3 linked regions of the Kluyveromyces lactis genome follow. The protein of the gene in region 1 binds, or shares a complex with, the protein of each later gene. Links are inferred from orthologs where the notes say so. Each region holds a gene or a part of one and is shown in the gene's direction. Other genes may lie near its edges.

Region 1 (5,763 bases):
TTGTTATAAAAGGCTAGCTTGAATATATAGTTAAGGATACCGATCTTAATTCATCTCGTACTTTCCAACCGAAACAAGACTAAAAAGTGAAAAAACATACATAGCTAAGGATAGACTTAACATAGAAATATGGCACATTCTTCTGGTATTCGTAGACCAATTCAGATTCAAGAGTTCGTGATTGCTATTAGAGAATCGTCTGAGCATGAATTACAAGAGATCAGAAAAGAGATCAATAATGCAGTGAAGCATTTACAAAGATCTAACAGAAGGTTAGAAGCGTACGTTGCCAAGCTTAAGGGTGAAGAGGTATTGAACAGACAAGAATTGGACGCGGAAGGGAATTTTTCCGATGATGATATTGATGAGAAGGATTTGCAAGTATTCCAAGACTCATTAGCGGAAAATGGAAAAGTATTGGATAATTATAACGAAAGGCTACAAGCTTTGGACCTAGAAGAACAGCACAGGGCTAGCACTGTATCTTCCGGTGACATCCAATCGGCGTCCACAAAATTAAAAAGATCTTTGCAATCTCAAGGCCGGAGAACCGTTGGCGTGGATTCAGATAATACTGCTGATGCCACTGGTTCCAATAGCATTAACTTATGAACCCATTCCAAACAAAATATATATAATGTACTCATATATTGAAGTATAGTAAAAAAAAAATGAATGAAAGCAAAAATGCATGTTTAAAAGTGTGGGCTGGTATGACCTCGGAAAACTGTATACTTTCAGAGATGAATAAACGCACCCGTTCTGGTTTCTTTCTCTTAGTTTCGGGCTGGTAATCTGCTGGGAAAAACCCTGGAATGAATCTGCTACAGACCATTCTTAACATTTAGCTTTTTCTGTTTCCAGCAGGCTGGGCCGTTCTCTGTGGCATTCATTTTCTTCCATCTGTAAACGTCGATGCGAAAAAAGTCTATCAGGTTCACGTTAACATTTCATTTCATTTTGATATGATCGACATATATACTGTGCCATGGCATGAAAATGTTAAGAACACTTTTGGAGAAAAACATACAGAGAGTCGTTTTGACAGCAATTATTCGGTTGGAAAAGTGGGAACTGCCTGGGTTAATGATTGGTCTCCATCTATAAAGCATCAGGTTCAATTCAAATCGAAACAATTCTTTTTTTCCCTTTAAGGTTGTTTCTCAGTGCTTCATACGTGTTGTCAATATCTTTTTGTGTTCTTATTCGGCCAGACAAAATTTTTTTTTTGGGTCTAATCCACAGCTTTCGCTTCAGTAATTAGATTGTGGTCTTTTCGTTTGTTATTATACCCAGTTCATTTCGTTCCAGCTAGTAATTTTTTTGTTCTTTTTGTTTAAATGGTGATATCGTTGATATATGTCCTTTTACTGATATGTTCAGTTGTCTCGGAGACCCTTAAACTGCCGATAAACCCAAATCGATTAGAATTCGATTTGTGGCCATATAAAAAATGGGAAGTTGACGGCTCGAGTGACGCGTCTAGTTATCAAACTTGTTTCGAAATGAATACGAATATTAAGGCCAAGGATTTACAATTCCTCATTGAAATTGAAGAATTTACTAAATGGAAAGTTAATGTGGATAGGTTTGGTCCAACTACGAGTTCAAAGGGAAAACAGGTTGTCAACATGGATATTTATGACGAAGACCAAAATTTGGTACAGTCAAGACATGGTTTAGAGAATGGGGAAACTGTGCTTTACGTGAGCGTATACGAACATCAGAATTTCCAAATATGCCTTATCAACTTTTCATTAGACTCCTCATGGAATGCCATAGATAGTGTGAAGCAAGTAGCAATTAGCATCACGTCTAATGATCTGATTCAGAAACAGAAGTGGGATTTGATTACTGATGATGATCTCAATTTGTTATCCCAGGGTAGAGATGACCTGTTTTCGTTGGTCAGTGCGGATTCTGGCCAGGAATTGCATGCTTTAGATGTCGATCATAGAAATCTCAACGAATCAACGTTCTCTTATCTACTGGCAAAAGTCACAATATTATTCTGCATCATTGGAGTATGTCATTTGCTGGTATTTCCAATCTTACTGTATAGAATCGTTAGCAAAGGGCAACCGACCAAGAACAAAAATAAAATCAAAAGATAAGGAATAATTATGTCCATAAAACAGTTGATGTATTTGTATATATATTAAACATCAGCACCCTGTATCAGTACAACTTCAATATCAGTCAGTCAGCATTCATCGTATGTTAGTACTTCGAACCGTGACTGACACCTGACAGAACATCTCACTAATGGCCAATTATATCCGGGTAACACCGAATATTAATGTGCATTAGCGAAAAGAAGAAATGAAAAATCTGAACTAATTTCAGTATTGACTTATATGAGCTTGAGATGAGATGCAATGAGATGATGAGAAAAGGCTTATTTCCCTTCTATCAACAGCAATAGAAACATCTGAGTTTAAAGCGAGTTATCTTCTCACGAAGCAGACCCATCTCGTTAAAAAAAAAATCAAATAATATAAGAAGATAATGGGACTTTCGTTAACTGAAAAATCGTTCCTATACGATTCTCTAACATTAGATCCCCCATTAAGACCGGATGGAAGAGGTCCACATCAATTTAGACCATTGGAAGTATCTACTGATTTCCTTCCCAATTCTAATGGATCCAGCCGTGTGATATTAAGCGGAGGAAGCGAGTGTATAGTGAGTGTAAAAACTAAAGTCGTGGACCATACGGTAGAACAAGAATTGCTTGTTGCTGATGTCGACATCCAAGGCCACAGAGATGACTCTCCATTGGTTACCAGCATGTCTTCACTATTATCCAAATTGCTCAAACAAACTATTGATCAGAAAAAGCTAATGCTCACGAAAAGGTACAGTTTCAAACTTTACATTGACGTTTTGGTGCTTGCCTCCAAATCATACCCGATCTCAATGATATCTTTCGCCATTTTCAGCGCTTTGAAAAACACATGGCTACCGAAACTAATATCGAACGACGATGACTTAGAAGTGGAGGAGCTACCCACATTCCATGATTACGATATGGTTAAGCTAGAGGCAGATGCTCCTTTATTGTTTACGTTCGCAATTGTAGGAGACGGTGTTTTTGTGGATCCAACTTTTGAAGAGAGCATAGTATCGAACAATGGCCTTCTAATTACGTGGTACAAAGATAAGGTTACTTCTCCGATAAGATCTGTTGGCTTGAATAACGATAATATCAAAGGGTTCAGTCAGCATCATTTAGAACAAGCGTTCAAGTTAATTCGTCAATACGCACCACATATTGAAAAAGCTTTGGATGCTTCAGATTAAGGAACATTTAAATAGTAAATAGGTACTTTTCAGGGTGTTTATTATAAATGCATATCTATAAATGCTGGATCGAGTACGAATGAACGATAACAGCTGTTGCAGTTTGGATATTCATGGATCTTATTACCCCAGATTGTTTGATTTCTAAGCATAAATCCAACTCCTTTAACAAATGCCCTGGAATACCATGAGCTTCTGTTCCTAGTAAAATGACAGATTTTGATGGAAATTTAAATTCAGAATTCAGTTGAATGGAAGAATCAGTCTGCTCCAATCCAATTAACGTATATCCTTCCAACTTCTTTGCATTCATGTAAGATATTATACCATCGACAGGAACTTCTTCAATAGGCATCCAGCGGTCCGCTGTAACCGCAACATTTTTGAATTGAGGATGCTGTTTGACTCTAATATCATGAATTGTCATAGTACCGACACCCAACACGTCACAGAGTCTACAAATACCTCCGAGATTGGGTGCTTTATCCACTAATGAAGCTACGACAATTAATTCAGATCGTGCAACAGACTCAATGGATTTTTGATTATCGAAATCCAAGACAGCTTCCCAAGCACCACTCTTCGTTTGTAGGGGCGAGTTTTTTGCTAACTCAGTTGAATTTACTAGATTACTACTTCTTTTGGTCAACCATAGTTCACTCTCTTCCGATCCTATTTCAAATTCACCGTCATCGATGTTAATGGCTTTGAATATCTTACTATTTATATATGGAACTTTATGATCCATAATTTTCAATAATACGCCGCCAAATATACTTGTTAACTTAAGGTCGTTATTGATGCTCCAAGTGTTTGCGTCACCGGCTCTGAATTGACCTTGTACTTGGATCTTCTTAGCATCGCTGTATAGCTTAGAAATAATGGATCGCAAAATATTATCTTTGATGTCATCTTCAAAGGTTGGCCAAAACAAAAGAATGAGGGAATTAGAGAAATGTCTAATTAATGGTTTGTTTGAGGAGCAATTAGTTATCAGTTGTGCGACAAATCTTTCCATTGGCCTGAAAAAATGACCTGTCTCCTTCGCTGCCTTCAAAGATAAGAATAACAAACGTTCAACACTTGCTTGTAAAACAGGACGAGAGGTGTCTTCTAAAAGTTTGAACAGAAAGTCCTCATTTGGATTTTTATGATTATCTGTCGCTGTAACCCATAGGTCATATGCAATGAACCATTCTGAATAAACTCTTACTAACGGAGACGATTCTTCCACAAGAGAAGGAATGATATAATCAGAACACAAACCTGTTAGAACATCTTTATCGACTGATTTGATCGATAGAAGGCACAGTTGCCATTTTTGTAATCGTTGAATTTCTTCTGGTCCATCAGTTTTTTTCTTCGCTTTTAACATGTTAGGGTCTTCTTGGAGCATCACCTGCAAAAATTGACGTCTAAACTCCTTGCTTGAATATAAAAGAGCTTTAATTATGCGTGATTTCGTAACCACTTCTGTTGCACCATAAACAAACTTGTATAATCCTCCGTCAATATATAAACCAAGCTTGGAATCAAATAGCTTGGCAATTGCAGGTTTTAAATTGTAGATGTTGAGATTCATACTTTCATGAGTGAAAACATCAGATAGCAACCTAGCAAAGTCCGAATATTGCTGGTTTGGTAGTGAACTTCCATACACTTCCATAAACCCTAAGATTTGCTGGCTGAGAACTGGTTTCAATGTTCTCCTCGAAAAAGATTGATCTAAAATGGCAGTTGCGTAATGAAGCATGATCTTGAAAATAGCCTGATCATTGAGGGCAGATAAGAATGTCGTATAATGGAAGATGCCTCTTATGAGAGCCAAATGCAATGGTTGTTGATTGAGTACCAACCTCTCTTCTATTAAAGAATCCCATATTCTGCACTGTAAACCCATTGCACTATTCAAAACATGTTTCTCCATATCAGTAAGCTCATGCAGTGTTGGGAGAATGTAGACATCTAATATTGATTGACAAAGATAGCTGATTTCAAGATTTCCCAAATAATTTCCATTATCCCTTTCGGCATTTTCTTGCAAGAGATCCAATAATGTATTCAGCTGTTCTTCAGTCAGGGGAGATGATTTGATGCAAATTCTTAGCAACTTGAAGAAATTTGCATAAATTTCATCTTTTAGCTTGAAAGGAAGATTGTTTTCTGATCTTATGTACTCCCCAATTATGCGGTATAAATTAAGCAAATTTTCAAAGGATATGGTGATCTGAGAAGGACTTTGCATAACCTTATCAAACAATGATACAAAAAAGTCGAATTTATCAGGTAAAAACTCGGAGAACAAGCTCTTAAAAATTGGCAGAGGATTAATGGCACCGTAGACAGCTGGCGTAAACTGTGGTAGGTCCAAAATGACTTTAGCTTCCTTGTAGTTATTACTTTCCATTGTCACTAACTCAGTTAAGAAAGCATAATATTCTTCTGATAAATCGGAATAGT
Region 2 (3,092 bases), on another chromosome or scaffold:
AAATAATTGCAGTGGATGATTTATACCTGTACTCGTGGTAAACAGCAGGGAATTTGGTGAAATGAACTGTTCTCTTAGAGTTCATCACTTGCATTCTGCGACGTAAAGTGTCAATGGGGAACACCATCGTCTTGGATACAAACCCTGCGATGATCCCTGAACTAGCACTTACAGGTCGCGACCAGAATTCTTTCTCGTGGTTTTCACAGACTATATTCACGGTCTCATATGTGAGAAACATGATAGCCGTGGATAAAGTAACCGTTGTCATCGCAGTGGATATTCCAGTGAAAAAACCTCGTACACCTTCATTGAGCCACATTTGTCGGCACTCCTCTGCGACACTGGTCCGATGGCTCGTTCTGTTTGCTATAAGTCTTGTCCGAAGCAAATCTAGCGGGTAAGATACCACTGAACTAGTCATTCCTGCCAACGCTCCGACCGTTAGCGTTTGTCCCTGCTGTGAAAACCGAGGGAACTTCGCAGACCAAACGTTGTTGAACCACGAGTAAGATCCGAATTGTACTGCACCGTAAACAACGTACATCGCCGTCGCCGGGATGTTTCCTTTCCATAACGCTCGAAGTCCTTCTTCTTTCATTATAGTTCTCACAGTAGATGCAATTCCCTTATATTTGTCCTCTTGTACCGGTTGTAACTGATATCGTATTTTTACAGTATCCATTGGTGCAGTTGCCATCCTAGCAAATACCCCAGAAACAGAACCAGCAATCACTGAATTGTACCATGATACCGTTTCACCTTTCCTGAGATGGTCTTTCCTTATGCCAGTGTTCATTCTCTCTTCGTCATTAAATAAATCCCTCTCTCTTGATGGATTGAAGATTCACTGAATGCTGGTCTCTCGCTCCCTTCTCAGAACTTAAATGAAGCCAGACCTACACACAATCTCCTTATTTATAAATTACCACATACATGCCCTGCTAAAAGGGTCTCTGGCACATCAATTGCATTGCATCTCCAACCTCTTAGTTTCATATCTATTCATTGCGTATCCTAAAAGTGAAAAATTTCTGAATTTGAAGCTCATCTCATCTCATCCTGACATAACATTCAAAAGATGGGGAAAGAGGGACTGTAGTGGCTCATTACCGTCTATACCGACTGCGTATTGATTGTTATATTGTACCTATAGTAATTTTCTAGCCAAGATGGAGACTACGACGCATGTTTTGGGCCATGTTGATGGCTCTTCTGTTGTTTCAAACAGCGGAACTAAAGTTATCTGTTCTGTTTCGGGACCCATGGAACCTAAGTCTAGGCAAGAGTTGCCCACACAACTTGCATTAGAGATCATCGTGAAGCCTGCTGAAGGCGTACAGAGTACGAGGGAAAAGTTAATGGAAGATCAGATCCGTTCTGTGTTGACCCCAGTGCTTGCGAGATACTTGCATCCACGTCAATTTGTGCAGATATGTCTCCAAGTATTAGAAGCGGGAGAAAGCAGGGATTATACTGTGAAAGAAGTCAGTGTATGTGTTAACGCAGCGGTGCTCGCATTGGTGGATGCTGGTGTACCGTTACTCAGTATGTGTTCTGGTACTTGTATTGGTATTACCACTGAAGGGAAGCAGCTGGTGGTGAACCCAACAGAATCGCAGCTAGCTAAATGTGAATCGGTCCACGTATACTGTCTAGAGCTGGGCACGAATGAGAACGGGGATATAGATGTCAGGAACCTGCTTCTTCTTGATAGTTTAGGCAGCTTTGACGAGTCACAGTTGTTTAAAGTGTTAGAAACAGGTGAGAAAGAGTGTATACGGTTATACACAGAGTTGAGATCAGTGATCAAGGATAAAGTCGCCAAAGATTTCGTCTGGAGACAGTAGTGGGTATACCTGCACCCATGGTTCTTTATAAATTAACTTTATAATTAACGTTATCATCTTTATATACAATTTATATATATTTGCATTTATATAATTCGCATTAGCAGCGGCAGAGAGAGTAATCTAATCTATTGGACAAATAACAAAACAATTCTACAACTTCAATGCTTCCAAGTTAGCGATGGTAGCTTCCAAGGTTTCGATTTCAGCGGCAGCGTGCTCTGATCTTTCTTTGTTGAATTGCTTCACTTGGTCATTGGCCTTTTGTTCATAATCGCTGCTGTTGACAATCTTATCAATGGCAGATTTAGACTTCAAAGTCTTGTCTAGCTTCTTTTGGACCTTGGAGATTTCTGCATCGATATCGACGTGACCCTTCACAAGCACATGCACGTTAACTTCTGGGTTGACAGATTGTAGCACACAACCTTGTGGGATATCAGCAGCAGATTTCACAACGGAAACTTCATCGATTGCCTTAATCAAAGAGACGATAGAATCTTTTTGAGATTGGACAGTGGAGTAGTATGATTCATTAGCAGATTCAACAAACACCTTACCGTTTTTCAAGATGTTATATTGTGCCAACAAGGAACGAGCATCCTTTGTGACGTTTAAGATTAGCTCGTATTCCTTAGCAGCGCTTGGATTGTGGAATTCTTCCTTGAAAGTTGGGTATGAGCTCTTAACGATAGTTGGAGAAGTTTCGCTGGCGTATCTTGGTAGATGTTGCCACATTTCTTCAGAGATGAAAGGCATGAATGGATGGATCATTTTCAATGCATTGTCGATCAAGATATATAAGGTATCCTTAGCAGACTTTTGTTGAACTTCTGTACCTTCTTGAATCAAGTACTTGGAGTTCTCAATGTAAACATCACAGACCAAATACCAGAATTCATAGATGGCTGAGGTGGAGTTCAAGAAGTCACGCTTTTCAAATGCTTCGTTGACATTCTTGGCAGTTTCAGTCAATTCGTGCAAGATCCATTTTTCAACTAAGGATTCATTGCCAGAAAGAGCTTCAGAAGCTGGTGGTTTATAGTCATCTCCCAATCTCAACAAAGCAAACTTGGTAGCTTGGTAGATCTTGTTACAGAACTTTCTGTAACCTTCAACACGGAGAATATCCAAGTTAATGTCACGACCACCAGTGGTGTATGCACAAAGAGCAAATCTCAAAGCATCAGTACCACATTCTGGGATACCGTGTGGGTAAGATTCCTTTTGACCATTCTTTGC
Region 3 (3,778 bases), about 310 kb from region 1:
GAATTGAAGAGCACTGTCAGGTAAGTTCATCACGTAGTGATCGAAGAACTGGTTTTTGATTGGGATCTTGGTTTCAGGAGTACGTTTAGTTTCTCCCGTGACTTTATCCTTGTACTTCTTACCTCCTGGCACCGTGATGACTCCCTGTACCCTTTCGATGAATTGTTGTAGTAGCTTGGGACTATCTCTGATGAATTCGCGGCCATCGAGGTTCAATGGTTCAACGAAGTTACCCACCTTATTGTCGATGATATTTTGCTGCATGTACTTGTAAGATTCTGGGTTCAAATCGTTACTTAGAACGATGACCTTCTTCTTTCCTGCTGGAACTGAGAATGGCCCCACCCCAGCAAACACATCACCAACTATTTGGCCCGGTTTGAATAGACTCACTAACCTTGCATGTTCTGTATGTAGTCTTGAGTTCCAGTACACTTTACTGAAATCGAAAGTGAATGAACAATCAGATTCCCTTTGAGTCACTAGCAGGTTCGGTTCACCCGCTAGGACGTTCATTTCGAAAGTTCTGAATTTGGTAGCAATGGAATCCACTTTATCGACCACGGTCTTGATCGTCGAATTCTTGTCCAAGATGACTTGTCCAATTATTTCACCAAACGGTTTGAACTCTTTCCTTAAATTCAAATGAGCTACGTGTCCCACAATAGTGAACCCAGTAGGAATCTCAGCAAGGTACTCCTCTGGTAAAATTGCATTTAGAATCTCTTCCACTTTCCAGAAGTCATAATCTAGCACATACTCATGGTTTCTCAACTCATACTCTTGCTCATCAAGAAATTCTAGTGCATTGGAGGTCAACTTCCCTCTCGCCTGCGAAACATCTTGTATACTGTCTTTTAGTATGATACCTTTGGTTATATGGTTGTCATTGGCCAGGGATTTGCTTTTCTTCTGTACTGGCTCGACATCGTTCTTATCAGTATCTTCTTTTGGTGTTTCGCCAAGTCTTATAACGAATGGAATTCTTGGTGTCCTTAATATATCGTCCTTGAACTTCTTGGTGAAGACAGAAATATTCTTTGGATTCTTCAATAGCAATACAACAACAGGAAGCTTCTTTACGAATAATGATTTATCTAATTGTTTCATGCCACGATGCACTGGTGGTTCATATTTGAACGTAGTTTCAATAGCTCTACTCATTGTTCTTCGAAGCACTAGGCCAAACCTCATAAAACTAGTCCTCCTCTATCCTTGAAAAATGGAGCAAAATAGTGTGCTATCACTTCACCAAATAAAACGCTGCCTGACGGTCGATCTTTGCTGCAACATTTTTACATCTTTTACAACGCTCATCTCATCTCATCTCATCGCTCTCTTATTTAATTTGGAAAATTTTCAGTTAACTAACACCAAAAGTAACAAAGGTACAGCGAGGAAGTCAGCACATCGAACGCCTTCTGCAGTCCCTGACATCGTTATATCATTACTTGGAACAATGAGTGATGTTATTAGTGTTATCAATAGGAACGAATTTTGGTCTAATGGCCGTTTAGAACAGGATGAATATGAATCAGATTCCAGCTCAGGTTCAGAGCAAGAACATGACATTGAGATGAGCGGTGCTCACGATTCCAATGGTGGAATAGACCATCAGGATGGGTCTATTGTCACACCTGGTGAATTAATAACCGATGATCCTATATGGATGAAGGGTCATGGTACTTATTTCTTGGAAAACAAGACATACAGTTCTGTGGTTGGCACAGTATCGAGAGTGAATAGATTGCTATCCGTTTTACCATTAAAATCTCGTTATATTCCCGAAACAGGTGACCACATCGTGGGTAGAATCACTGATGTTGGTAATAGAAGGTGGAAAGTGGATATTGGAGCCAAACAGTATGCGGTTTTGATGTTGGGTTCTGTTAATTTACCAGGTGGTGTATTGAGACGTAAGTCAGAGACAGATGAGTTGCAAATGAGAAACTTCTTGAAAGAAGGTGATCTACTAAACGCTGAAGTCCAATCGTTGTTCCAAGACGGTTCAGCTTCATTACATACCAGATCGTTGAAATATGGGAAACTAAGGAATGGTACGTTTGTTCAAGTCCCAAGTTCCCTAATAGTGAGATCTAAAAATCATACACATAATCTTCCAGGGAATGTCACCATTATCTTGGGTGTAAATGGGTTCGTATGGATAAGGAAATCCTCCAAGATGGATCTTTCCGGTAAGACCACTACTACAGGTTCAGGACAATCTGACCATTTACCAGGATCCAACAATGCAATGTCGGTTTCCATTACAAGATTGGAAGAAGAGAGTTCTTGGGAAATATATTCGGATAAAAATGATACTGTTACTGTAAGCGTTAGGCAAACAATCACAAGATATGCAAACGTAATTAAGGCGTTAGCACATTGCGAACTCGGTATCACTGAGCCAAGAATAATATCCGCATATGAGGCTTCAATGGCTTATGGTAACTTGGGACAGTTAATTGAATCGGAGACGATGGAGTCCTTAGGTCAAGACGTCATCAACTCAGAGAAGATGAGGGGAGCAGCATAGGTTGTAATCGGTAATATTAATATTTACATGAAGTAGTATTTTATAAATAAAGTGCATAATATTTACAAATAATAAAATCTTTTCGATAAGAGTACCATCATTTGGATGTCTCAGATGTTGGTTTATTATGGGTAGCTTGTAGCGAGTCTTGCTTCTTTCCATCGTTTGTGAAAGATTCAATTCTGCTCTTAACACTAGCACCAAGATACTTTTCAAAGAAGCCAATTTCTTCTTTCTTCTTACCGTCACCTTTACGCTTGGCAACAATACACCATGTCGTACCGAAATGTGTTCTTCTTTCTTCGACGACATCCAATCCAGAATCGTCAAGGATTTCTCCGATATCCAAGTTCCATCTACAACCCCATGTCTTTAAACGTTTCTCAGCTCTATCGTCAAGAATTTTGTTGATTGTATCGTATGAACCTCTTCCGTGTTCCAAGAGAATGATTCTACCGCCAGGTTTCAACAATTCAGCAAAATTCTTCAAAGATTTTACAGGATCGTGATGTGAACAAAGACCAAACGCTTCAACAATAGTATCATACTTAACAGGTGTCTCCTTCGAGTTCAAGTCGATCAAATCTTCCGCTTTCCCTACAACAAATGCACATTTCTTGAAATTGGGTAGTGCTTCTCTGAATTTTTTATTTGTGATTTCCATCATCTTTTCCGATGCATCCAAGAATGTGATTGAGTTGATCTTCGTTGGGTCTAAATATTTGATATTCCTACCAGTACCACAAGCGACTTCGAGAACATCTCCTTTACAATGTTTCATGAGCCACTTACGTCTTTTACCCATTCTGATCATCATTTCTTCAAAACTCACACCCTCATCGTACTCTTCTGCCTTCATTTCATAGAAATCAGTGGTATCCCTAGCAGGTAGAATTTTCTCGTTAATCTTGTTTTGATCGTTGTTTTCCAAGGTAATCTTATCCAAATTCTCAGTCCCATCTTTCTCTATAATCTTTTGGTATTGTTTCAATTTCTCCACATCTCTTGTTCTTAACGTATTTTTTAGTTCCTTATAGCGCAACAACTCATATTCATTTGCTACTCCCATATCAATCTTTGCACTAATATCTTCTAACTCCTTGTCCTTCTTATAAAGCTTCTTGGTATAGTTTAACCCATATAGAATGAACACCACATATGCGGCAAGAATGTATTTCGTTAAAGCTTTCGAAAACTTCTCGGACCTTGCAATGGCCCCGTACCTAATAATCCAGTTGTCAG

Evidence for each region. The genes of interacting proteins can lie anywhere in the genome.
Region 2: RRP42 (region 1) and RRP46 share a complex: the UniProt entries of both Saccharomyces cerevisiae proteins name them as parts of the RNA exosome complex. The link is inferred for Kluyveromyces lactis from reciprocal best matches to the Saccharomyces cerevisiae genes RRP42 and RRP46.
Region 3: the proteins of RRP42 (region 1) and RRP4 are in contact, whole or in part, in a cryo-EM structure (PDB 5G06), measured with the Saccharomyces cerevisiae proteins. The link is inferred for Kluyveromyces lactis from reciprocal best matches to the Saccharomyces cerevisiae genes RRP42 and RRP4. Residues at the interface, in NP_010172.1 of Saccharomyces cerevisiae: Met1, Ser2, Leu3, Ser4, Val5, Ala6, Glu7, Ser9, Tyr10, Leu11, Asp13, Ser14, Ser17, Pro19, Ile21, Arg22, Pro23, Asp24, Gly25, Arg26, Leu27, His29, Gln30, Phe31, Arg32, Pro33, Ile34, Glu35, Ile36, Phe37; in NP_011936.1 of Saccharomyces cerevisiae: Ser2, Val4, Ile5, Thr6, Ile7, Thr8, Lys9, Arg10, Asn11, Gly12, Ala13, Phe14, Gln15, Asn16, Arg115, Lys164, Glu165, Gly166, Asp167, Leu168, Leu194, Arg195, Asn196, Gly197, Met198, Phe199, Trp232, Asp283, Asn285, Ile289.

The regions. Positions count from the first base shown.
Region 1 is NC_006041.1:821,884-827,646, reverse strand, and holds RRP42 (exosome non-catalytic core subunit RRP42), read left to right. Parts: upstream 1-2,508; coding exon 2,509-3,303; downstream 3,304-5,763. Other genes in the region: TMA17 (Tma17p), read left to right, coding at 130-612; RRT6 (Rrt6p), read left to right, coding at 1,341-2,114; TRM3 (tRNA (guanosine(18)-2'-O)-methyltransferase), read right to left, coding at 3,359-5,763. UniProt on the Saccharomyces cerevisiae protein: Non-catalytic component of the RNA exosome complex which has 3'->5' exoribonuclease activity and participates in a multitude of cellular RNA processing and degradation events.
Region 2 is NC_006040.1:1,265,510-1,268,601, reverse strand, and holds RRP46 (exosome non-catalytic core subunit RRP46), read left to right. Parts: upstream 1-1,172; coding exon 1,173-1,850; downstream 1,851-3,092. Other genes in the region: thiamine transporter TPC1, read right to left, coding at 1-799; VAS1 (valine--tRNA ligase), read right to left, coding at 2,004-3,092. UniProt on the Saccharomyces cerevisiae protein: Non-catalytic component of the RNA exosome complex which has 3'->5' exoribonuclease activity and participates in a multitude of cellular RNA processing and degradation events.
Region 3 is NC_006041.1:1,129,143-1,132,920, reverse strand, and holds RRP4 (exosome non-catalytic core subunit RRP4), read left to right. Parts: upstream 1-1,222; coding exon 1,223-2,536; downstream 2,537-3,778. Other genes in the region: TRM5 (tRNA (guanine) methyltransferase), read right to left, coding at 1-1,194; OMS1 (putative RNA methyltransferase), read right to left, coding at 2,634-3,778. UniProt on the Saccharomyces cerevisiae protein: Non-catalytic component of the RNA exosome complex which has 3'->5' exoribonuclease activity and participates in a multitude of cellular RNA processing and degradation events.